Linked DNA regions of Cricetulus griseus. The protein of the gene in region 7 interacts with the protein of the main gene of each other region in a pairwise test. Links are inferred from orthologs where the notes say so. Each region holds a gene or a part of one and is shown on either strand. Other genes may lie near its edges.

Region 1 (4,151 bases), on a different chromosome or scaffold from region 7:
GTGCTTTTAGTTCCCCAATATTGATAAAGATTTTAATCACTCATTTCCAAACTACAGCAATAAATTGATTGTTTTGATGCCTACAAAATTAATTGTATTGAATTGTTCTTCAACATGAATGATATAAGGAACAACCCCCAAAGTCCCCTGTTAAATTTAAGGATATTGTTGGCAGTGTTTTCCCATTTTTAAGAATTCCTGAATAGACTTGGCATGGTGGCACTCACCTTTAATCCCAGCACTCAGGAGGCAGAGGCAGGAGAATCTCTGTGAGTTCGAGTCCAGCCAGGTCTACAAAGCAAGTTTCAGGACCATCAAGGCTGTTACACAGAGAAACCGTGTCTCAAAACAGAACAAAACAAAAAATTTCCTGAATTAAAAAGAAAATTGCTATATTTTTAGACCCAGGGGAAATTGTGCTATTCACAACTCATGGCTTTTCATTTTGCATGTTAACTATATTGGGTTCTAGAAAGACCCACTCCTGTGTATTATATACAATTCCTTTTCATGTATTCATCTAATCCTTCAGTTTTTGGTTTGGTATAATTTAACTTATATGTAATTTTATGCCATTATAGCTTCCCAAAACTCAACTTAGTTGAGAAATTAAAACAGCAGCAGCAAGAATTCTGCCCCCCACCCCCTGAAACTAGTACTAGTACACTGTAACAAATGGAAAACTTTTTCTTTGGTATAGGAAATTTTTCCTGTTCAATAGCTGAATGACCAAATGACACAAGCAGAAAAGACTGCAAGGGAACAAAAAAATTTCAAGATTTCTATCAGCTAAGTTATACATGATCATAGTTCATAGGGAATTATTCCAGGTTTCAAATTGTCTGAGTACATATGCCTTGGATTTTCAATAGCAATTGTAATGAATGCGGAGAGGGACTCAGCAGAGATACAGGACCATCTTCATACTGGATGCTTTCACTCAATTGTATTATTACTTAAAATCACCAATGTTACAGATGCACACTCTGGAGTCTGCGTCTTTCTAGCACATGGCTCAATATCCTGAAAGAATTTAATACTAGAGCCTAGTAACTTTAAACACACGTACTGTACTTGTTAAACAACATATTTGCTAAAGAAAAAATACTTCACTATGTTTGAACCATACAATTTCCAAGCACCCCCCTTGTGGTTTTCTCAGTATTTTTATCTTAGCTTTGTACACTGTAGTCCATATGTATATAACCAGAAGAAGACACACAGTGCTGGCATTGAGATATTACCTATGGGCAGTATATGTAGCACATTTTTATAAATATACTCTCAACTATGCTGTTTTAATCACAGGTAGGAAAGCCCTTGGATAAGGGAAGTGAAGGACGCTAGTACAATATGTTTTTCAAATGTAGTAGTAAAAGTAGATTTATTTTGGAATCATTAATCACAGATGTCTCACCTTTATTATTCCCTAGAGGAAGGATTTAATACCCCCATCCTTTATTTTCCATTATGGCATACCACTTGTGTATTTTACTCACAACCTATTTGTTTTCTGTTAATCAGAAAGAAGCATGGTTGCACTGTAAACATACAAAGCACTTACTTTGCTTGTCTGCTAAAGAAAAAAAATAAGGCCCGGGAATCTGTTAAATAACTGTCTTGTTAAGTTGAAGAAACCAAAAAATTCAATATTATTTATTGAATGAAATATAGCAAAATTAATATACATAAATTTCAGTTGGAGCAAGCTCGAAGGCACACTAAAGTAAATGTCTGAAGGAACATTTCATGCAAAAGTCGAGGATGACTAGGGGGTGATTAATGAGAATAAAATTATTGACTGTGTCAGAGCCATGATATGTCATTTAAAAAATTCATTTCCTATTAACACATTGCCAGAATAAATCTGATGTCCTCTACCATTTTTCTGTCTGACATATGACATACATTTGATGCTTCTGAGTTATTTGACAATATTTGGTATACATTAGTCATTTCTAAGAAAGGAGATGGTATATGATTATCAAATTATAATCTTGATACTGTATGCCCCACCAATTATTTATTTCTTGCATTTTCATTCTAGGCTGTAGTAGCTGAGGAGTCATACAGAACATATACATTACTTTTGGTACCATAAACCTGAAATCAGAGAATACTAAATTGATACATTGTAGAGCATCAGTTCTCAACCTGTGGGTTGTGACCCCTTTGGGCTCACATATAAGTTAGTATACATGTAAGATATTTATACTATGATTCATAACAGCAGCAAAATTACAGTTACAAAGCAGCAACAAAATAATTTTATGGTTGGGTGGGCTCACCACAATATGAGGAGCTGTATTAAAAGGTCACAGCATTAGCGAGGCTGAGAACCATTTCAAGGTCTGTATTTTCATGTAAGACTATAAAATAAATGCACTCTCAGAGACACCACTAGGTGTGGTTATGCTGGTTTTGATCTAGCGTCATAAGACGTTTATTTCTTTGGTGGAAGAAGAGAAATGAAAGTAGTCCCCAATAGAAAATGAATGTCAGCAGGATTTTCACATTTAGCTTGGAGTTTACAGCATCTTTAAACAAATCAACTCATACCTCTTCAATCTTCTGCTGCATGACCTTCCACTGACTTTCCCATTCTTTTCTTTCATTATCAAACTGGTCCAGTAATTCCATTTTTTCCTTATGCCAGTTGGTCTCTGTGTTCTCCCACTGCTTATGCAGGTCCATGGCAACTGTGTGAGTGTCAGCCAAAGGGTTTCTGCTCATCTCTGCCTTCTCTCAGCTGTTTCTTGGAAGTGTGGAAGTGTTTGGTTTGAAGTGGTCTCACTTGCCTTTTAAAATAAAGCCTGAGATAAACATAAGAAGACAGAGTCCCAAGTTCACGCGCTTTGTGGAAATATTTTGTTAAGACCCAATGACATAATTAACTATAGAAAACTAAACAGGAAAGAAGCAAGATCCTCCCCAGGTCAAGTGGAAGGACTGTACCAAGACCCAAAGTAGGTCATCTCAGAAGACTAGTGTCTTAACTACAAACCATGCAAATATTAAAATGAAAAAAGATCATTATTTTCCTTTCTTAAGTCAAATCTCAAGTATTATCATTATTCTGTGAGACACATCTTAAAACTTACTCATGGCCTCTCTTCTTTCACCTGGACTATACACGTCTTGAATAATAACTATAGGAAACTGAAGAGAAGTTTTCTTATGCTACACTAAGTAGTGACCAAAATGACTTGATTTCTAACATTCAGGATATTAATATTTCGGGCTTGATGAGACAATTTAAAATCTTGGACTTAGGGGCTAGAAAGATGGCTCAGACCTCACAACTGCATACTGCCCCTACAGAGGGGCCACATTTGGTTCTCAGCTCCCTTAGTGGGTGACTTACAACCACCTGTAACCCCAGTTTCAGGGAATCCAATATCTTTTTCTGAATTTTGTGGACACTTGCACTGACACGTGCACATATCCTATCCCCAAATATACACATAGTTAAAATTAACCTTTAAATACCAGATATATAATTCTGTTATAAGCTTTGATATTTTTTACACTAAAGTGAGGATATCCATAGCATTATTATGAACTTTAGATAGTATAATAAATACACAGTAATTTGAGAAATTAAAAAATACTTTGGACTTTAAAAATCTTGCTTTATCTGAAGAAAGTTTTTATCAATAAAATCATGTATCTTTGGAGTGAATAGAAAAGCTTATTGGTAATGCACCAATTTTATTTAAAATAACTGTGCCAATAAGAAACAGAGTTATGGGTAACTTGGCAGGCTCACATGATTAGCTTGTCAAGGGCCTGGGATGAACTCCAGCACATACATGTATGCAACAATGTGTGCATGTGCATCCACACACAAGAAAGAGAAGAAAACAAAAACCAAACAAAACCCAAACTCTGATGCTTCATTTTACTAATACATGGTCATAATGCTATACCATTTTCTGTTACTGATGCACGAATTTGCCAATAGTCAGTGTTGTGGTGTTCCTGGAAGAACTAAGTCTGTATGATTATGTAGCAAGAACAAGTTTGCACTCGCCAAAGACAGATGCATATTTCACACCCCATATATTATATGGCAATGAAAGATTAATTTTGTCAGGCCTTTCCAGTTAAGATAGGAATGAATTATTATAGACTAGAAGGAATTAGAAACA
Region 2 (3,386 bases), on a different chromosome or scaffold from region 7:
TCTACATGTTTACTGGTCAGGTAAGGATGTTTCAGTTCTTTTTGTTTGCCTGTTCTTGTTAATTTTTAGTGAGGTGAAAATTCTTTATTTTTCATTCTACTTTCCCCTCCTGTGACATCTACTGTATTTAACTTTACTTCAGAGAAATGGAGAAATGGCTCCATGGTTTGCATTGGTCACTCTTCCAGAGGACCTTGGTTTTATTCCCAGCACCCAAATGTCCTCACAACTATGAGGCTTGGCTTATGATTGTCTGTTTTTCCAGTTTCAGGAGCTCTGACACCCTTCTTCTGGCCTCTGTGGGCACCAGGCATACACATGCACAAATATATGCAGAGGAAATACCCATCCACAAAGCGTAATTAAAACCCCACCATTGCTTCAGTTAAAAGCATTCTGTCACGCTGGGCAATGGTGGCACACACCTTTAATTCTAACCCTAGGGAGGCAGAGGCAGGTGGATACCTGTGAGTTCAAGGCTAGCCTGGTATTGAGAGCAAGTTCCAGGACAGGCTCCAATGCTACACAAAGAACCTCCCCCTCCCCCTCCCCCCCCCCCCCCAAAACACACAAAAAGCATTCTAACCCCCTGTGAAGCTCAGGCACTAAGAGTCTAGCCTCCCCTACCTTATCTTTCATCTTCTCTATTCAGCCACTATTCTAAATCTACCTTACAGAAGTCCTCCTATCTCCTCCCATCTTTCTATTCCTCTAATTCAAGGTATTATTAATTACATGTCCTATGTTTACTACCTGGCTGTGTTTTGTTTTGTTTTGTTTTTACCCCCAAAATTAGTCTTAACATTTTGGTATGATGTTATCATGTACAAGTCCAAAAAGTTTGATATTTTTTTCCTTTTGCATAAAATCTTAACCTTTTTATTCTAGTCCTGCAAGGCCTTTACAACATAACCAGATCTATTAATCTAGGTCTTCTTCATCCTCTACCTGAATCTCTTAAAAATACATGTTATGTCTCTTCTTGTTAGTATTATTTCCTTTATCTACAGGCCCAAAGACATCTATAAAATCATCCTATCACAATTTTAATTCCAATCTTATAACCTAAGCCTTTTATTTTCTTGAGACAGGGTCTTGCTATGCAGCTCATGCTAGCTTTGAGATTTCTATATAGGCCAGGAAAGCCTAAACTCTTGTTCCTCTTGATCTACCTCCCTCAATACTACATTTAGATTCTTTTATTTTTTTTTTTTGAGGGGGGGTAGAGATAGGGTTTCTCTCTGTGGCTTTGGAGGCTGTCCCGGAACTAGCTCTTGTAGACCAGGCTGGTCTTGAACTCACAGAAATCTGCCTGCCTCTGCCTCCCGAGTACTGGGATTAAAGACGTGTGCCACCACCACCCGGCTTTACATTTAGATTCTTTAAGATACCAATTCATTTAGAATAGCTGTCTCCTGATTGAAGTTACTTCCCAGTTTATCTTTATTAGAATATAACACGCTCCATAAACAAGAATGCACTGTCTGCATCAATTCATTGATTTGTGTGTTTATGTGTACTCTAGGATAACCAAGGTAATATTTTCCATAGCAGAAATTTTATAGATAGCTATTGAGTTGATTCTTTGAGATCTTCTCATCTTACTTATGACATGGAATACACAAAGCTACTAAAGTAATAAGTGTTTTGATATAAAAAAAATCTATTACCTGTTTGTTAGCAAAAATCAGAAGCAAGGCATCTCGGAGTTCTTTTTCCGTTAACAACTTTGCAAGTTCGCTGTGTGCTTCACTGATTCTGTCTCTATGACTGCTATCAACAACAAATACAACAGCTACCAAAAATACACAAAAATACTCAAGTTATTTGTTAAATTTCAGTAAATTAACGAAGTAATATTCATTATTCTAGCTAAATTTTGTTTACCATCTCTGTCTTCATTTAAAGGTTGCCTACTTAATAGCAGAACTTAATAATTTTTTTCCTTTTTGCAAATGTTTTAATGTTTCTAGTTTTGCAAACTATCAGTTCTTATCTGAATTTTTTCCTAAGTGCTTTTGTGACAAAACATCAAAAACATAAAATGCCTTAAAAATGGCACAAATGTAATGCCCTACAGTTGTGAAGATCAAACATCCAGAGTAGGTTAAAAATCAAAGTATCAGCAGGAATGTACTTCCATAGGCCATTGCTGAGAAACAGTTCTTGCTGGCCAATATATTGTGGTCTTTACTCACTAGACCATTAGCAACCCCACACCTCAGTTCTGAAGCAATTCCTTATAAATTACCAGGTCAAAATCGCTTCTCATAGAGCTTTATACTCTGACTCACACTCCTTTGTAGTACTTAATAATTAATGATATAATCTTAGTTTACTTCACAAGTTTACTTTCTCCTCCTCTGATAGGATTTATAAAACTGACTCTACCAAACACGAACGGCTCTCCTCTCTAATGTGCTTAAGATCTACCTTGAGGCTACTATTATTTGAAATTCCTTCCTTTACAAAAAGTCTTACAAAAGCAGAAGGGGAGGACTCTTTTGGTGTAGGAGGGTCATTAAGAGGAAGGACAGTATAATGACACATACATACAAAAGTGCCATAATGAAACTCATTACTTTGTATGCTAACCTAAAAACAAACAAACAAACAAACAAACAAACAAATAAAAAAAAAATGCTGGGTACACTCTGGAGGCAGAGGATCTTTATGAGTTTGAAGCCAGCCTAGTCTACATAGCAAGCTCCAGGCCAGGTAAGGCTACATAATGAGACTATGTCTCAAAACTTAAAAAAAAACAAAAAACAAAAAACCGTTTTAGGGGAAAAAAATACAATTTTTACAAAATAAAGTATCACCATGATTATCTCTCTAAAGTATTCTTCTCCTTCAAAATTAGGGCTTATAGTAACCATAATAACTAAATGTCCTGGTTAAAAAGAGTCTAACATTTAAATGGGAATAGGATGGATGACAACCTAAACAAGTGTATGAGTATGTTTCATGGGGGGGGGAGTGTAGAATGGAGACAGGTGTGATAAAGGCTAGATGGAATGCTGGGGTATGTATAGTTTGGTCAAGAGAAAGCTATGATGGGTTCCTCTGGGATCACACTATATATAAATCAGGCAGTAGTGATGTTGAACAATCATAAATTACAATAGGCTAAATGTTACCCTCAGAATACACATATATGTCACAAATTCAACTTCATGTTGCCTTATGGTCAGCAATCATATCCATAAGAATACTGATAACAGATTTCAACTTTAATAACAACCAACAGGAGGTATTTTTTTTTTATTCTATAATAATGGCTTTTCATGAGTAACCGGATGTACATATCCCAATTTTACCGTTACTTTTTAAATTTAAATAAAATACATTTACATCATTCCCTCCACTATTCTCCTCTGCTCAAA
Region 3 (3,181 bases), on a different chromosome or scaffold from region 7:
CCTTTAGTCCCAGCACTCAGGAGGCAGAAACAGGTGGATCTCTGTGAGTTTGAGCCCAGCCTGGTCTACAAGAGCTAGTTCCAGGACAGTCCAAAGCCACAGAGAAACCCTGTCTCGAAAAAAACCAAAATAAAAAAGAAAAGAAAAAGAAACACTTCTTGCAAGCCTTTAATCCAGCACTCAGGAGGCAGAGGCAGGCAGATCTCTGTCAGTTCAAGGCCAGCCTACAAAGCTAGTTCCAGGACAGCAAAGGCTACACAAAGAAACCCTATAACAAACAAACAAACAAACAAACAAACTCACTCCTCCCTCCCTTTCTTTCTATCTCTGAGATGAGCTACAATGTGAAAGAATTATCTGTACTCAGAAAATGTAACTGTCTCACTGACCAAAAGAATAAAACACACATCACCATTTCCCTAGTTGCAAAACTAACTGACAAAGCTTATGGGAAATGAGAAAGACCGCACATATTTAAAAAAAAATCTTGGAGAATGAGAGATTTTTCCAGTTCAAGTACTTTTATTTTTGGTAAATGTAGATTACAAAATCTCAATATTAGTACTTATATGCAGATACATAGAAAACCCAAATACCAACACTGACTTGAACAAATTAAACATGGTTTTCATGTGCTGTGTGCACTCTTGCACAACCACCATCTAGGTTTTAAGATCATTCCAAGTCACATGAAACCACACTTTGTGAAACTTTTGAGTTGTTGATGACTTTGTAAGTTTCTGTTTAAAGGACTAACACATTACATTATAATGAACACCACTGGAATGCAAAATGAAGAAAATAAAACAAAATATAATTCAGACTTGACAGCCTCAAAACACAGGAAATAGAAATATCTGCTAGTTTTATGCACCCACTGGGGGAACTGTCATAAAGAGGTAAAATATACATAAAGAAAAGCCTATAGATTCCACTGAAGGAATACTGGGGATTTAGGGCACTATAATTGATGAAAACATGTGAGTTTACATGGAACTAAGAAATAAATTCTTTAATATGATAAAATCAATGAATGGTGTCTTATACCCCAAATTACAGCACTCCAGAGGTTGAGGCCAGAAGGAGTTCGAGCCTAGCTTAGGCTACAGAGTGGAGTCAGGTTTATAAAAATAGATACTCTGTCAAACAACAAAAGAAAAAATGCATATCTAACCACATGGTAACCTTCTGTGTGGATTATGCATAAAATTGATTTACATGTTAAAGAATCAAAACCCCAAATAACATTATATCATTTTTAAGGAAAAAAATTAGTAATATTAAACAAGAGGCTTGTTGTGTTTAAGCATATAAATCAGTAAACAAAGGCCTTAGAGAAGTGATTTCCACTTCAGTTAGTTAGTAAATGAATGTTGATAAATTCAAAGGCTGAGGGAGTGAACACACATGCCTTTGAAGACATGAAGATTCCTGACATCAATAAACTATGTATAATAAAGAAGATAAAGACAAGCTCACACAAAGGGAAATATGTACAGCTCATTTAACTAAGAAAGCAGGCTCTAATCCAAATTCTAACTCACAGTGCAACTTTTAATAGGTTAAGAGAGACTTGTGCCGGGCGTTGGTGGGGTGGTGCACGCCTTTAATCCCAGCACTCAGGAGGCAGAGGCAGGTGGATCTCTGTAAATTCGAGGCCAGCCTGGTCTCCAGAGCGAGTGCCAGGATAGCCAGAGATACACACAGAGAAACCCTGTCTCGAAAAATCAAAAAAAAAAAAAAAAGGAGAGAGAGACTTGTAAAAATGAGAAAATCAAGGACAAAAGGATAAAACTCTAGTCATGTAAACTTAAGAGGCCCCAAACACTATTTTCTTAGCACCCATTTCCAGGAGTGCACTTTTTGCATAGTCAATAGGAAGTCATATTCAGACTGTGCATCTTTTTGTTTTGACATTCTTTCTCTACAAAACCCAGGCTGGCTTCATCCATGGGAGTCTGCCTCAGCATCTCCAATGCTAGGATTATGTATTTGAAGCACCACAATGTACTTGTACTATTTTTTTGAGACAGGGACTTTACAATCTAAATTGGCCCTGAACTCACATAAACCTTCCTGCTTCATCCTCCCTAGCATCTGGATTACAGACATGTGCCATCACACTTGCTTCAGAAGGAAGGTATATAATTTGGGATCAGTGTGAGGCAGACTACCTACAGTTATGTAACCTGGTTAAGTCACTGAAGATCTCTGGGCCTCTTTCCTCATCTGTAAGTCTCCAGAATATCATTCATTTCTTCAGAACTATAGAAAGGCTCAAATGAGACTATTTACAGGTATTTCTCAACTCTAACAACAACTTAAAGCAAACTAAGAAATAACCAGAGCAATGTTGATGCCTGGGTCCCACGCCATAGGTTCAGACTGAATTATTCTAGGCTTGGCCCTCAGCACCAGTATACTTCAATGCGCCCAAGAAAACTCTAATGTATAGTCATTCTGAAACCCACAGGCCTGCAACTTTATCAGAGGATGACCTGGGGATTCTACCAAGTTGCAGATCAGGATTCAAAGAGTATCAGTCCAGAGAGTCTGCCTCTCTAACATGATCTCAGGCTGTGTAGAGCTACTGTGCTACTCTGAATGGCCACAAGTACAACGTGATAGTCTTGTACTTTTCCCAAACAACTTTTTAACAATGGTGGCCTGCACTTTGGCAAACAACTCTCTTTCCTTATTCCCAGGACTGTAGTAAGAACAGTATACCAAGCCAGGTGTGGTAGTGTATATCTGTAATTCCAGCTCTGAGGAGACTGAGGCTAACTGTGCTTGCATAGTAAGATCTTTCACAAGCCAAAATCCCAAAGACAAAATAGCAGTAAGATTCTATAAAAAATGAACACAAAAGGGTTATGTTATACACATAAAACACACACCCCTGAAGGGATTATTTACAAATTACAAGCACACCCAGTTGCTATGGTACCACTGCTCCCCACATTCATTACAAATGACATAGGTCATTTGTTCATCCGGATTTGAATTCTGCACCCAACTTGGAAGGAAAAGTGTTCCTCTTGCAATTACAGTGATCTTGCAGTTATATTTCTCACAGCGCCTGCACTTTATTTTATTTGTCTGTGTGCCTTCAACTGTTTGGGGAAGGTGATGTTCCTGAATACTGGATTCTGTGTAGGAAGCTCTCAACTGCTTCAGTTCC
Region 4 (3,957 bases), on a different chromosome or scaffold from region 7:
CCACACAAAGACTCCCTGTCTCGGGGGGATCCTAAGTAAAATTAATAAAAAATTCTGAGTGTAGTTAAGTGTGGGGACACATGCATTTTTCTTTTCTTGTGAGACAGTGTCTTACTGTGTAGCACAGGCTGTCCTACCACACTTATCTTGTGGCCCTAATCACTCTCTACCTTCATTTCAGCCAACTGTATTCTACAGGGTGACCTTCCCTAACCTCCCTATCCTTTAGGACCTGTGAGAATGCTCCTTGACCAGGGCATGGTTCCAAAGCTACCAAGCCTGTGGTTGGTTAGCACTCGTCTATCCCTAAGTAGCTGTATTCGTCACAGTAAGTGCTGAGGAAGAACCTGCCACCCCAGGTCAACAACACACAGCAAGATGCTGTAGCTATAGGACTTGATAGGCCAGAAAACTCTTTTGGGGTGCCTCTCCGATCCTCTAAAGCCAGGGCATGCAGCTCAGCAGACAGTACCGTTTGCCTCCAAAGCTGGGCCTCTCTTCATCGGAGTCATGTTCAGCCCATACCCCATAAGTGGCCTCCTCCTTGGTCTGCCAGTGACGCTGCCGGTTGGGGTTGAACTCATTCTGGAGATCCCAATCAGTGATCTCAAAGTTCTCACGCTCATCATCATCATCGTCCAGATGACCTTCCCCGTCCCGGTACAGGTGGGACAGTGACATGGCTGGTCACTAGAGGAAGGGGGACAAGAAGAGCAATGTGAAACCCTGGGGCCAACAGAAGATGCCCAGGAATCTCTACTCCTGTTTCTTCCAAAGGAAAGCCCATTAGCCTCATGCTACCAGTCAATAAAGTAGCCATTAAACACAGGACAAAGTGGCCAGCTCTGGGACAAGTGAGAGAAGTCAGTCCCAGCAGTCCATACAGGTCTAAGAACCCATTCTGCCTTGGCCTTGTCAGAGTCAAACATCACCCATAAGTGCCACAGGAAGGAAGTAATAGTTCTATGTTATTACCTCAGAAACTGAGTGGGCACCTCAGCCTCTTCAGTTCTCCAAGAGTTATATCAAGCCAACTGGGAGTCCCAGGGAAACTTCTGAATGTCTTCTGAAATACTGTTTCATGAGATTGAATGACCAGTGTAACACTCGGGTTTTTTCTTTCAAACCTGAGTGGCTTCTGAGGTACTGGAAGGCTGAGGTCTTTATGAATGACACTACACAGCGGCACCTAGAGGGTGTGGGATAAACAAACTGTTCTACCCAGGAATCTGTTTGGCCATCTCGGTAATTGTATCAGTGACTACAGTCGGTTTTAGAAGGACTGATTAAAGTGGCACTTTAGAAAAGAGAACTCCTGCCAGGAGTTGGTGGTGCACGCCTTTAATCCTAGCACTCGGGAGGCAGAGGCAGGCGGATCTCTGTGAGTTCTAGGCCAGCCTGGTCTACAGAGCAAGTGCCAGTGCCAGGATAGGCTCCAAAGCTACACAGAGAAACCCTGTCTTGAAAAACCAAAAAAAAAAAAAAAAAAAAGAGAGAGAGAGAGAGAGAGAGAGAGAGAGAGAGAGAGAAAGAAAGAAAACTTCCTCAACACCTACTCCACAATCCCCCTCCTCAACCTCCCACCCCACCGCCTCACTCAGGAGGCAGAGGCAGGTAGGTCTACTCTGTAAATTCAAAGCCAGCTTGGTCTACATAGTGAATACCAGGCTGGTCGGGGCCACACAGTGAGACCTGGTCTCAAAACAAACAAAATAACAAAAGCTGAGCTCCCAATAGGTGCTTTAAAAACAGCATCCTCGCCGGGCAGTGGTGGCGCACACCTTTAATCCCAGCACTCAGGAGGCAGAGGCAGGCGGATCTCTGTGAGTTCAAGACCAGCCAGGTCTACAAGAGGCAGTTCCAGGACAGCCTCCAAAGCCACAGAGAAACCCTGTCTCGAAAAAACCAAAACAAAAACCAAAAACAGTATCCTCTTCAGGCTGGAGAGGCAGAAGCAGGCGGATCTGTGAATTAGAAACCAGCCTGGTCTACACAGCGAGTTCCAGGACAGCCAAGGCTACACAGAGAGACCCTGTGTAGGGACGGAGGGAGGTAGGGAGGATTGTGAAAATCAGGAACACTTAAACCACACAGCCTGAGTTCAAAGCCCCCCTCTACCAGCGCCTCTGTGCGTGGTTATCACATGCGTGGATATCACACACAAAAACGCTAGCGTGGTACACAGCACACTAACGTCCTCAGTGTGTGACGCCATCGACTGACAGCGGTCTTCCTTACGTACAGCGAGATCTGGGCTTCTCTAGCAGGGTGGGACTGCTTAGCCATTAACAAATGTGTCCCTGCTCCTCCTCATTATGCACCGTTAACATCAACAGGTTCCAACCTGAGCTACGAGTGCACTTTGCTCGCAAAGTTCTCAAAGGAGGCAGGGAGCCCTGGACCAATCGGATTACAACACCGTCGCCTCCCCAGCACAGAACTGCTACAAAAAAAAAAAAATTTCACAGCGGTCAGGTGCTGCTCACAACACGAGCGCGCCCGGGGCTGGCTATCCAGTGTCAGCATCGGGACGCTGGCGGCTCCCAGCGCCTCATCTGGTCCCGGCCCCGCCGCAGCCCATGGCTGGAGACCCGGGCGCAGGGAGGCCATGGGGCCGCCGCAGAGGCTCAGCCCGTGCTCCCAGGACGCCACCCCGACCCCGCCGCTCACCTCGCTCGGCGTTTGCCAGCCACACAGCTTTCTCCAGCCTACGAGAGCCTGCGAGGAGCCCGCCAGCCGAAACCCGGATGTAGCCCTGCCGGCGCACCGGAATGACGTCACTAGGCGGTGACTTGCCACTAGAGGGGGGAGGGTCTGCGTGCCGGAAGGACTAGAGATCCCGCCCGCACTGCTTCCGGTTTCCACCGGAACTGAGGCGGAGTAGACATCCGGCCAATGGAACGCCATTGACCGGTGTCCAAGGGAGCGTAGGAATGGTTCCGGGAACCCCCCCCCTCGCGGATGGGAACAGCCGGGTCCGGACTACCTGAACCAATGTCACGCGGACCCTGAGTAATTAAAACGCCCTCGGCACTCCCTGTCGCGAGAAGGGAAAGCGAGGGGCTTCCTAGGAGAGATTTCTCCGTTCCGATCCCCTCGCTGCAGAGCAATCATCATGCACACTTCCGGGCTTTTGTTTCCTCTTTGCTGTAAACAGGAAAGGTAAAGGAGCCTAAGAACTTATCTCCAGGCAGTCTGGCCAGGCTGTAAATAAACCCGTTTTCCTTTGCCAGTCCCTATTCCTGTTTTCTCCTGAAACAGACTGACACTAAGACAGCAGATTTCTGCACCCAGGTGCCTCCTTCTTGGCTCTTTTAGGACAAGCCAGCCTGGGCCCACAAAAGTTTAAGGCATGAATGGGCGGAAGGCGTGCACAAGCGTTCTCTCCAGGAAGAAGTTTTATTATTTTCCTCTCCGCTCCAGTTATTTCTCTTGCTGTGATAAACAACTAAGGGGAAGCGGGGCGGGGTTTTTGCTTGGATTAGTTTGGGTTTGGTTTTTCAAGACAGGGTTCCACTGTGTAGCCCTGGCTGTCCTGGAACTCGCTTTGAACTCGCTGGTCTGCCTCTGCTTCCAGAGTGCTGGGATTAAAGGCGTGTGCCACCACCGCCAAGCAAAAGCATATTTCATCTTACGCTTCTCCGGGTTATAGTCTGATGCCATCTAGGGTTAAAGAAAAAGTTAGTTTTCTCTCACGTCCTGGTGGGGTTTTTAGTTGTTTTTTGTTTGTTTGTTTGTTTGGCTGGTTGGTTTTCCCTGTCAGCTTCACACACACAAGAGTTGTCTGGGATGGCCTGTTAGGCAATCCCGTGGGGTCATTAACCTGGTTAATGATTGATGTAGGAGAGACCAGACATTGTGGGTGGTGCCACCCCTGCTTTGATGGTCCTGGTTGAGCTTGGGGAGCGAGCCAATAAGCAGTGTTCCTCCATGGCTTCTACCTCAGTTCTTGCTTTC
Region 5 (4,294 bases), on a different chromosome or scaffold from region 7:
AAATCAGGAAAAAAAAGATAGAGTTATCTTTTTATTTGTAAGGTAACATGTCTGTAAAAGGACACTTCAATGCAAGACTAGAAACATTACAGCCCACGCTCCTTTGCGTGGGCCACCACTTCCGTTACCTCTGGGTCACTGCTTACGTTCAGCTCACTCTCTGTAAATCCTTCAAAATCTTCAGCTTCTGAATCTGTGTCCTCTATGAAAATCCTCCTTAGCTCTTCAGTGAGGTATTTGGAATGGAAACACACATCCTGCTAAATTGAAAACACACATGAAAGCCAGACACGGAAGTATAGACCTAGGATCCCTGTACTCTGGTCCCTGTGCTCACACCCAGTCATGCAGTGACCCCTCATAAAGCCACATTTGGTTGACACCATTTCATTGCTGCCTTTCTCTGGCTTTAATTATATACTTCTTCAGACTCAGATATCTTTGGGGAGGGAAAAAAAGATATAATAGAAATATATAATAGTGGGAAAACTTGCAGGGTAGTGGAGAAAGAAATGCCTACAGTTAGCAGTAAGCTTAAGAATGTCCCCTATGAATTATAGGTAATTGGAATGGGTTTGCTCAGAGCTAAATTACTTCCTTCCTTTGTTGTTAGCTGTGGTGCAGCTGCAAAAAAAAAAAAAAGAAAAAGAAAAGAAAGGAGTTTCTTTCCAGAGAAACTTGAGTTGTGTTTAAGGGAGGGAGCCCAGGGTCAGCTACACACACTGTGCAAGTTGATGCCCTTTCTCTCAGCTGGACAAACTGAATCACAAGTATGTGGGTCAGGTGAGCATTAGACCAGGGTTGAAAATCAATGTAAGAACAAGTGTGGGGCTGGAGAGATGGCTCGGTGGTTAAGAGCGCTTAATGGTTTTGCAGAAGATACAGGTTCAGTTCTTAGTGCCCACACGGCTGCTTCGAACCTTCCCTAACTCCACTTTGAGGGTTCACGCAGCTCTTCCAAGTGGGGCACAACTACACACTCAAGCAAACACTCTTACACATAAAAATAAATCGAAAGAAAGAAACAAGTGCAACACAACCACTTGCTAAGGAAACCCACCAAGCACCGGAGTGCAGGAAACATCTGGCTAACCTCTGGCGGTTTTTCCAGGGCAACAAACAGCCTCAATGCACACATTCAATAAATGTCCAAAGATCCTATACAGAGTCTAAAAGAGAATGAGTCAAGCCCAGAGCAGCAAGTTCTAACCTTCCTGGCAATTTCTATCCTAGAGAAGGTTAGCAGTCCTGATGGGATTAAAATGGCTTTGCTACAAGCTTACTCTCACCTGGCTGTACAAAGCTAATCTCCACTGCACAGCCTCACTGACTGCTTGGGTAAAGGCTCACAGAGCTCTTGGCTTTCTGAAAGCTGCTCATTACGCTGCCAAGGCAAGACCAAGGAAGCAGTGTCTACTATGATTAAAGCAAGAGGAAATGGCAGAAGCAATTGTGTCATGAAAAAAGGACTGGATAGCAATGACCTGTGTAGCAGTGAGATGGATGTATTTCCAACTGTACCCGATAAACACCCACGGGTGCCTCCCATGCGTGGTGATGCAGAGTCCTACATGCCTGAACCCAGATCAAAGCGGCAGCCCAACAAAAGGTCAGCGCCGGGGAAGATAAAAAACACTGTGCCAAGTATGATCTCCTCCTTCAAGGAACTTGCAATCTGAGGAGTCAGACAGGCTCACAAGGACTTAGATAGAGGCAGAGACATACATTCTATCACAGAGGGGAAAAGGAATCACTCCAGTAGGGAGAGCCAGCTGACAGAAGAGTGGCTGTGAGGAGAGTTGGCCGGCATATGTGCTGTGCACAACAGGTAAGAGAAAGTGCCAGGGAGGAGGAGACTGGGAAGTGGTGTCCTGGATTCGGAACAGCCAGCCTTACCGAGCACTGTTTTCAATGTAGGACCGTGGCTAAGTCCTTTGTGTCCCAGAGCTTATTTCATCTGTACTCCACCAGCCCCTGGAGTCTGGAGTAAATTCAGTATCTGTACACAATATGAGTGCCATATTCACAGGCCTGGGGCCTGGCAAAGGAAGACGGGACTATGGACATAGTCGTCATAGCAGCAAAAACAGCAGATGTCTTTGATGCCCACAAGCCTTGCACCTTTCACTGTCCCTTGACCTTGTGGCTTAGGTACCACTCTCCCTCTCTAACCATGCATGGGGGACTGGGGGATTTCTGAATAACAACAGAGCCCAACCTAAGCCCAGTGCTTCTGTTACTCCCAGCAGGATTAGGTGATTCCACCCCAGGCTCCCCAAAAGTGGGATGACAGAAATCTTGTGCAAGACCACTACATGGCACCTGTCTCACAAGTCACTTCACTGCCGTGACCTGTGTGAGAGCATGAAGCAAGCCTGGCCCACCCTTGCCAGCTGTGTGAGAGGAGGGAAACACAGTCTTGCCATAGGAGACAGCTGGGGGAAGAAGACAGTGGATTTAATCCCTTCATCAACAAAGCTGTCTGTGGCCGGGAATTAAAGAAAGACGCAGGCAGCTGCTTCTGGAGACAGGAAGCTGAGACTCTGAAACACAGTACCCGCCATGCACCAAATCACCAACTGATGACTGCACTGAGATGAGAAAGTACCCCACACCCTGCTGCAGGCTCCCAGAGGGCCATGCCTGTCTGGAGAAGAAAGACTCCTACCTGTTTCTCCAGCTCCAGCGAGTCCAAACTCTGGAAGCTCCCTGACAGGGTTTCCATGGGAACATCATCCTGGAAACCCACAAACTCCTCGTCGTCACTGGGAGCATTGAAGATGGCCGCTACTTCTTTGGGGATCTGTTTTGGATGCAGAAGAGAAGGATGAAAGCGAGGTTGCTGGGGTTACTCCAGGTGGAACTAGCACATCGCATCCTTTACCACAGATGCTTGCAAAACCCCAGTTTCTCTTATTTCTTTTTAGGTATTTATGTTTTTATTTCTCTCCTTATTCTTCCTACTGTTTGCTGACAAGTTTCTTGTTATTAGAATTTTTTTATATTTTTTCTCTCGATTTTCTCTTTTCCTTCATAATATTTGCCTCTTCTCTTTATTCGTTCTTTCTGTGAGCCTTACTTCCCTATTTCCCACTACCCATGACCCTGTGTTTATTCTTTCATTTACTACTTCCACCATACCACACTCTCCATTGGTTCTGACCCCTTCCGTCATATGGTTACAGGTGACACATTAATGAGGTTTAGTAATTTTACATGGAAGTCTGTCTTTATGATTTAATTATTGCTGTCCCCTGAGTGGTACTGGGGCAGAGACTTCACGAGTGGGCTGTTCACTATGAAGATCCCCAAATAAAATCAGATGAGAAATCCACACCAACCATTCACAAGGCACAACAGGAACAAGAAGGCAACATGATGTCTCCAAAATGTTGTGACTTCCTCAAGCAGTGAATCCAAAGTCCTATGGTATCAAAGTACCAATGACAAGCTCAAAAGTTCACAACAAAACGAACACTAAACCTCAAAGACAATCTAAACAAGCAGACGAATGACATAAGGAGACCAATCTAGGCCCTGGAAAGGCCACCCAGCAACACAGGAGAGAAGTCAGCATCAAGGGTGAGAAAACCAGCATCGTGGATTAAGAAGGACAGCTTCGTGAAGAAGTGTGTCAAAGGCACTGAGAATTGAAAAACATAAAAAAAAAAAAGTCATAGAAATAAAAGGCTCAATGAATCAAGTAAGAGTAAGAACTCTTATAATCCAGAGATGACTTAACACTCCGTTGGCAAGACTGGGACTCAGTGTACAGTGCTTGCCTAATACATGTTAAGGTCCTATGTTCAATTCCCTACCACACACCCACACACAGGAAGGAGGGGGAGAAAAGAGAGAGACCCATCCATAGGGGAGAAGTAAAGAGGCATAGAAAATGGTCGATGAAACTAATAACACCAAGTTTCCCAAATCCAGGGAAAGAGAAGCCATAACATTTAGAAATTTAAATTTAATTGACATGACTAAAGATAAATCTTTCTACACATATCACACTCAAGATTGAAAACAAGAAAGTTAACAACCAACACCAGAAGGTGGGGGGGGGGGGCACCAATTCAGCAATAAAGAGTAGCATGACACCTCTCTCACCAGCAACCCTCAAGACCAGGTGAGCATGGGACATTTTAAGCCATGAAAGCTAGTAACTGCCAACCAAGAGAACCATACCTACCACCTAAGTTACCTTTTAAAACTGACTATGAAACAAAAACATGTCAAGGCAAGCACAAATTAAAGCTGTCCATTACCAAGCTAACACTGTATTAGATGGTTA
Region 6 (2,137 bases), on a different chromosome or scaffold from region 7:
AGAAATAGTTGCCATGGCCCAGGAGAGCTGTGCCAGCGATGGGCAAACAACGCCTGTCACCAGAATCACAGTGTTAGAAATGGGTGTGGGGGCGTCTCAAGAAAATGACCACACAACCCAAAGCATTCAGCAAGACAGAAAGTTATACTTCCGTAGGTTGTGCAGCTGTGCCACAGGGGTCCTGAGTCCCATTCTGGTTGGTCAAGAGTTCAGCCTCTTCACAGTTGAATAACTTAGAGCTGTGCAGTCCACAAGCAAAGTGTAACTTTGAAAATAGGACACAACCTTGAGCACAGACTTTGATCTTAGAAATATGCTGACTGGAAGGGGATTTTCTTTTGCTAGATAGCCTCTTTAGAGATGGAGCTTCATCTCATTTAACCCTCTGATAGAAAAGACAGTGCGTTTTGTTTACAGTTCCCACAGGGGTCCATAGATAGACTGGTTCCTCCCTTGAAAGAGGGCATTGGACAAAAGCAAAGTCAAAACCCAGGCAGGGCTGGAATAGAGTTGGTAAAGTGCTTGCCTTGCAAACGTAAGGTCTTGACTTCAATCCCCAGAGTTCAAGTTTGAGAAACCGAGTGTTGTAGATGTTGCTAGTAATTCAGCACTGGGGAAGCAGACCTCTGAAGCACGGTCACTGACCAAACAGCCTCGCTTTGTGTGTGTGTTTGTGTGTGCCATGTGTGCCCATGCATGATCCAAGCCAATAAGAGACTTTGTCTTAAATTAATAAGTAAATAAGTGAAAGGAAAAGTGGATGATGCCAAAGAAATGACACCTTAAGGTTCCCTCCCCCCACACCTATAGGACCAAGTTGAAGGACTCGGTGGCTTAGCAGTAGGAGCGTTGGCAGGAAAAAGTGCACCCTCAAGGATGGCTAGACCCTGCCAGAGTCCCTAAGATTGTGTGTAGCCTGTGGAGTTGAAACCAGGGGCAGTAACTGCTCAGTGTATTGGGTCAGTGATAGGATGGACACTGGGTGTTGTGCCTGAGGGAGCCTGGCAGTGGTAAGCAAGAGGTGAAGGTGTGTTTTGTTCTTCCTCTGCAGACTGATGAAAAATTCCAGGTGATCTTGCGCCAGCAAGACGTCCCCTTGGGGCTTGCTATGATCCCTGAACAGCTGGAGGCATACGAGCTGCCTTTAATGTGGCAACTATACCCAGGGAAAAAGTACAGAGGCAGTGACTCCATGCTCTGGCAGATACTGTACCACATCAAGGCAAGCACAGCTTATCCTACGGACTGAGTGGGTAATCTCCAGTGGTCCTGCTCTCAACTTGGGGTTGGCTTGGGTTATCCCTCCATCCTAGTACCAGAAGCTAAGCTAATGGAAGGGGAGCTAACTGCAGATTTTTGTTTTTAAATGGGTTAAAGAAATAGAAGAGGCTATCTTCTGAGGTCTCAACCAAACTCCTTAGCACAAGGAGCTCTGTGGTAGTCACTGACTGAGACCAGTGGAGAGGGCTAGCCCCTCAGGTCCCAGTGCTGCCCCAGGCTAAAGAAAGCTAAGCCAGCATAGAAGGGGAGTTCTTGGGGCTGGGTCTGATCACTCTTGTCTCTCTCCTTCCCCACCTTAGTTCAGAGGCGTAGAAGACATGCTACTTGAACTGATGGAGTCTGAAGAATATCCATGACATGGTGAGTGCACCGGGGCTCCATCAGGAAGGAGTAGTACCCTTTTCCATGAAAGCCATGCCGGCTCCTCCCCAGCAGCTGTCCTCAGAGAGAGCCCAGGGTGAGGCAGGCTTCCCAGAAGTGTCCATGTCTCTTCCTTTACCCCCCTAGGAGCTACAGCTACAGCCGTGTTCATGGGCCACCACAGGTTACCGTTGTTTATGATCAGTTGTCACTGTGTGACTTTTTTTTTTTTTTAGATTTTATTTATTTATTATGTATACAACATTCTGCTTCCATGTATATCCGCACACCAGAAGAGGGCACCAGATCTTATAACATCCGGATGGTTGTGAGCCACCATGTGGTTGCTGGGAACCCAACTCAGGACCACTGGAAGAGCAGTCAGTGCTCTCAACCTCTGAGCCATCTCTCCAGCCCCCATCACTGTGTGACGTTTACAGAGGCAGATTTCTCCATCTTACCCATTCTCCTCACTGGGTTGGTGTTTGCCTTGGCC
Region 7 (3,500 bases):
TCTGTGAGTTGGAGGCCAGCCTGGTCTACAAAGTGAGTTCCAGGACAGCCAAGATGACACAGAGAAACACTGTCTCAAAAAAACAAAAAACAAACAAAGAACATGATTGATGGCTGTTCTTAAAATGAATACCATGCTTCTTCTTTTGTTTCCTGGGAGACAGTTTCATTCATTTCCCAAACTGGCCTAAAATTTACTATGTATCTGAGGATGGCCTTGAATTTTTGATCCTCCTGACTCTACCTCCAAAGCCTGGAATTACAGGCATGTGCCACCAAAGTTGGCTCAGTTGCTACTACTTTTTGTTGTTTTTGGTTTTTTGAGACCGGGTCTACCATTGTAGCCCAAACTGGCTTGGAACTCACTGTGTAATCCAGGCTGGCCTTGAATTCACAGTAGTTATTTTGTTTCAACCTCCAAATGCTGGGAGTACAGGTATGAGCTACCACTACTACTACTGCTGCCTATTCCAGGGGGTTACCACCAGCTCTTCTACCCAATACTGTGGCCTCCACCTCCCACCTGTGTAGCTAGCAACTTCCTCTCCTCTATTGAAGTTTCCAACCCTGACCTTCCCCTAACCAGCACAGGCGCCACTGGGACTCCCCTGCTACACTGGCCCTTCCTGTGAGAGAGGCAGATGTTCCTGTCTTTGTACAAGAGGCTCCAGGTTCTATCTTTCAACATTGCCAAGTTACCTCAGGCATAAATAGATAGGTAGGTAGGTAGATAGATAGATAGATAGATAGATAGATAGATAGATAGATAGATAGATAGATAAAGTAATGAGTTGACCACAGCTTCAAAAGCCTCTACACCGGCACCCAAACACTCCTCTCATTCTCATCTTCTGAACACAAATGCAACACCTACCTGGTCCCGCTCAATGGAGACTTCCTCCATCTGCTGCAGGATAGCCTCGATCCGGTCCTTGTACATCTTGGCATCCTTACGCAAGGCCAGGCACTGCAGCTCGAACATCTCCCTTTCCTCCACGCACTACAGGAAGCACCACTCAGCCTCACCCACTCTCCACTGCTCACCTGGCCCTGGGCTGGACTCAGGCAACACCTTCAGAGCACTCAAGATCGGGCTAGCCGGGATGATGGGAAGGGCACTGCAGTCCCAGGCCACAGCAGGCTTGCCTGGTCTGAGACCATGGCCTCAGCCACCACCGATCACACGGTAAACTGAAAGGATGACCCTAGCTGTGGACATGACACCACTGTGCACCAGGAATTGGTGAAGGGGAGACAGTGAGTTACATTCCAGACCCTGCCTTCCAGATACCCAGTGGGTACTGCTTGCCTGCCCTGCCCTCTCACCCGGGTCCGGAGGGCCTCAGCTTGGCGGAGGTCCTTGCGTAGGGAGAAGATGGTGTTGGCCTGCTCTTGGTGCTCCTGCAGTGCCTGGCGCCAGTCCTCCTGCAGCACTTGAATGTAGGGGCTGTTCCTGTCTAGCTTGCCCTCCTGGAGGTGGCAAAGGGCAACAAGCCTGGCCATTGCAGTTGTACCATCTGGTGTGCCCCTGGTGTGCACTGCTGGTAGCCCTACCTGTACAGAGACCTCCAGCTCCTGCACCCGGGCCTGCAGCAAGTCCTTTTCCTGCTGCAGCTCCCACATCAGCTCCTGGCTGGGCCGCTGCTCCATAGCATGCCTGAGCTTCAGGGTGTGTTTTCGCTCCACCTTGCAATCATCCTCTGCCTTCATGAGGCTGTGCCTGAGCCGGTCCACCTGTGGGTGGTCCAGTCAGCAGCAGCCTCCTCCAGACACCCCCACCCCCACCCCCCTGCTGGTGGGACAAGCGATCACCTCGAGCTGCAGGTCCCGGTTCCGCATGAGCGCTGAGCCCTTCTCTTCACTCAGATGTGCTAGGCGCATGGCCAGGTCATAGTTCTCATCCTTGCAGCGCTTCAGCTCTCGGCTGCTCAGCTCACACTCTTCCTTGAGCCGCTGCACACGCTCCTGGTGCTTGCGCAGGAGGCTGTCCTTTACCCGAAGCTCCTTGATGAAGTCGTCCTTGGAGCTCAGAAGTGCCGTCAGGTCCTGAACCTTCTTCTGCAGCTTCATGACCTCTGTCATCAGCAGCTGCGTCAGGCCTGACTCCCCTGATGCATCTGGGGACCATGCAGTGTCAGATGGAGCCTGTGGCTGTCACCTGCAGACCCTGTGCTTGTCCTTGTCCAGAAGTATGTGCTTGAAGACCAGCAGTTTGAGGGGCAGAGGGAGCACTACTGGTCTTCCACAGAGAGAAAGCTGGTGGGAAGGCTCCCTGGGGACTGTTCACCAGGCCCAGTCTGCCTTGCTGCCCCTCACATATGAACTGACTGAGATTCTAACTTATCACATGCCAGGACTCCAGCTGGCCCTCTCTCTCTCTCTCTCTCTCTCTCTCTCTTTTTCTCTCTCTTTTCCCTGAGAAAAGGTCTCACTATGTAGTCCAGGGTGGCCTCTAACTCAGAGATCTGCCTGCTTCTCCCTGGGATTAAAGGTGTGTGCCAGCATGCCTGGCCCTCTGTCTACCTTTATAAAGATCTTTATGAGATGAATGATAGGGATGTGGACTGATAGGGATGTGGCTATTCCATCAGTTCACCTCTGTCCCCTCTAGAAACTGTGGGATTCTGTCCTTAGGTGGTAACTGGGCCCCATGGAATTAATACTTTATAGAGGGGTCACCTCTTCTTAGTGGATGTTCTTAGGATGGGAGTAGGAAAGGCAGAGAAGGGAGCCCTGACCCTGAGCACCTGAGAGTAGTCACTGGTACCACTACTCTGATATGTACCACAGGGCTTGTATTAGACTCATTCATTCTGATGTAATCACAGAAGCCAGGACCTGGTGGCACCTGACTGCACTCACAGCACCCACCCACTCTGTGCCTCTCACCAATGATCATGGAGAAGACTCGTGCTGGCTCCTTGCCCGTGACTTTCCTGTATAATTGAGGGTAATAGAGTTCCAGACTCTCAAGGAAGGCTACATAGCCCTTGTGGCCTGTCCGCTGCAGGATGTCCAGTAGCACACCTACAGATGGAAGAGACAGAGTTGAGGCCAAGGTCTGGGTATGTAGAAGCTCTGGGGCCCAGGTGGGACAGTGGATGACTGCTCTGAGTAGAGGTGCCAAGCTGTGGACCCCCAGCCCTCGTTTCTGGGCCCTTCCTAGCAGAGGGATCTGGGGCATTGCATAAGGCACCCTGCAGGTCTCAGTCAAGGCAGAGTAAGGTGCTGCCTTCACTCTTGTGGCTCTCTCACAGCCTGAACAATGGTAGGAACTCCCCTTCCCTCCTCTGGGTAGCAGCAGGTAGGCATGATGAGAGGAGAGAAGGCTCTCATGCATACATCCTAGGTGTAGATGGAGCTGGGTGGGGACAAGGCCAGGGCGGCACAGCATGTAGCAGCCTCTGGCCAGGTGTCTGTGGGGACCATGAGGGACTAGGGACAGCCCTGCTGGTGTGGGAGCAGCCCTCACCCACTTTCCGCTTGCGAATGACCAGGTTG

Evidence for each region.
Region 1: the proteins of Card9 (region 7) and Kiaa0408 interact in a two-hybrid assay, tested with the Homo sapiens proteins (2 studies listed by BioGRID and IntAct). The two-hybrid records come from large-scale screens. The link is inferred for Cricetulus griseus from reciprocal best matches to the Homo sapiens genes CARD9 and KIAA0408.
Region 2: the proteins of Card9 (region 7) and Trim23 interact in binary tests that used the Homo sapiens proteins (3 or more experiments, as listed by UniProt). The two-hybrid records come from large-scale screens. The link is inferred for Cricetulus griseus from reciprocal best matches to the Homo sapiens genes CARD9 and TRIM23.
Region 3: the proteins of Card9 (region 7) and Tceanc interact in binary tests that used the Homo sapiens proteins (3 or more experiments, as listed by UniProt). The two-hybrid records come from large-scale screens. The link is inferred for Cricetulus griseus from reciprocal best matches to the Homo sapiens genes CARD9 and TCEANC.
Region 4: the proteins of Card9 (region 7) and Tfip11 interact in binary tests that used the Homo sapiens proteins (3 or more experiments, as listed by UniProt). The two-hybrid records come from large-scale screens. The link is inferred for Cricetulus griseus from reciprocal best matches to the Homo sapiens genes CARD9 and TFIP11.
Region 5: the proteins of Card9 (region 7) and Cdca7l interact in binary tests that used the Homo sapiens proteins (3 or more experiments, as listed by UniProt). The link is inferred for Cricetulus griseus from reciprocal best matches to the Homo sapiens genes CARD9 and CDCA7L.
Region 6: the proteins of Card9 (region 7) and Tcl1a interact in binary tests that used the Homo sapiens proteins (3 or more experiments, as listed by UniProt). The two-hybrid records come from large-scale screens. The link is inferred for Cricetulus griseus from reciprocal best matches to the Homo sapiens genes CARD9 and TCL1A.

Annotation. Positions count from the first base shown.
Region 1 is NC_048595.1:247,808,326-247,812,476, reverse strand, and holds the start of Kiaa0408 (uncharacterized protein KIAA0408 homolog), read right to left. Parts: upstream 2,801-4,151; 5' UTR 2,734-2,800; coding exon 2,560-2,733; intron 1-2,559.
Region 2 is NC_048595.1:322,471,743-322,475,128, reverse strand, and holds part of Trim23 (E3 ubiquitin-protein ligase TRIM23), read right to left. Parts: intron 1,796-3,386; coding exon 1,671-1,795; intron 1-1,670.
Region 3 is NC_048604.1:101,283,365-101,286,545, forward strand, and holds the end of Tceanc (transcription elongation factor A N-terminal and central domain-containing protein), read right to left. Parts: coding exon 2,920-3,181; 3' UTR 501-2,919; downstream 1-500.
Region 4 is NC_048597.1:92,000,000-92,003,956, reverse strand, and holds the start of Tfip11 (tuftelin-interacting protein 11), read right to left. Parts: upstream 2,801-3,957; 5' UTR 2,671-2,800; intron 2,444-2,670; exon of another isoform or gene 2,243-2,443; intron 1,190-2,242; 5' UTR 976-1,189; intron 691-975; 5' UTR 682-690; coding exon 473-681; intron 1-472. UniProt on the Homo sapiens protein: Involved in pre-mRNA splicing, specifically in spliceosome disassembly during late-stage splicing events. Intron turnover seems to proceed through reactions in two lariat-intron associated complexes termed Intron Large (IL) and Intron Small (IS).
Region 5 is NC_048598.1:191,926,219-191,930,512, reverse strand, and holds the start of Cdca7l (cell division cycle-associated 7-like protein), read right to left. Parts: upstream 2,801-4,294; 5' UTR 2,726-2,800; coding exon 2,669-2,725; intron 261-2,668; coding exon 117-260; intron 1-116. UniProt on the Homo sapiens protein: Plays a role in transcriptional regulation as a repressor that inhibits monoamine oxidase A (MAOA) activity and gene expression by binding to the promoter.
Region 6 is NC_048598.1:189,490,436-189,492,572, forward strand, and holds the end of Tcl1a (T-cell leukemia/lymphoma protein 1A), read left to right. Parts: intron 1-1,051; coding exon 1,052-1,222; intron 1,223-1,580; coding exon 1,581-1,637; downstream 1,638-2,137. UniProt on the Homo sapiens protein: Enhances the phosphorylation and activation of AKT1, AKT2 and AKT3. Promotes nuclear translocation of AKT1. Enhances cell proliferation, stabilizes mitochondrial membrane potential and promotes cell survival.
Region 7 is NC_048599.1:137,744,308-137,747,807, forward strand, and holds part of Card9 (caspase recruitment domain-containing protein 9), read right to left. Parts: coding exon 3,472-3,500; intron 3,027-3,471; coding exon 2,889-3,026; intron 2,693-2,888; exon of another isoform or gene 2,117-2,692; coding exon 1,812-2,116; intron 1,734-1,811; coding exon 1,554-1,733; coding exon of another isoform or gene 1,470-1,553; coding exon 1,326-1,469; intron 1,000-1,325; coding exon 874-999; intron 1-873. UniProt on the Homo sapiens protein: Adapter protein that plays a key role in innate immune response against fungi by forming signaling complexes downstream of C-type lectin receptors.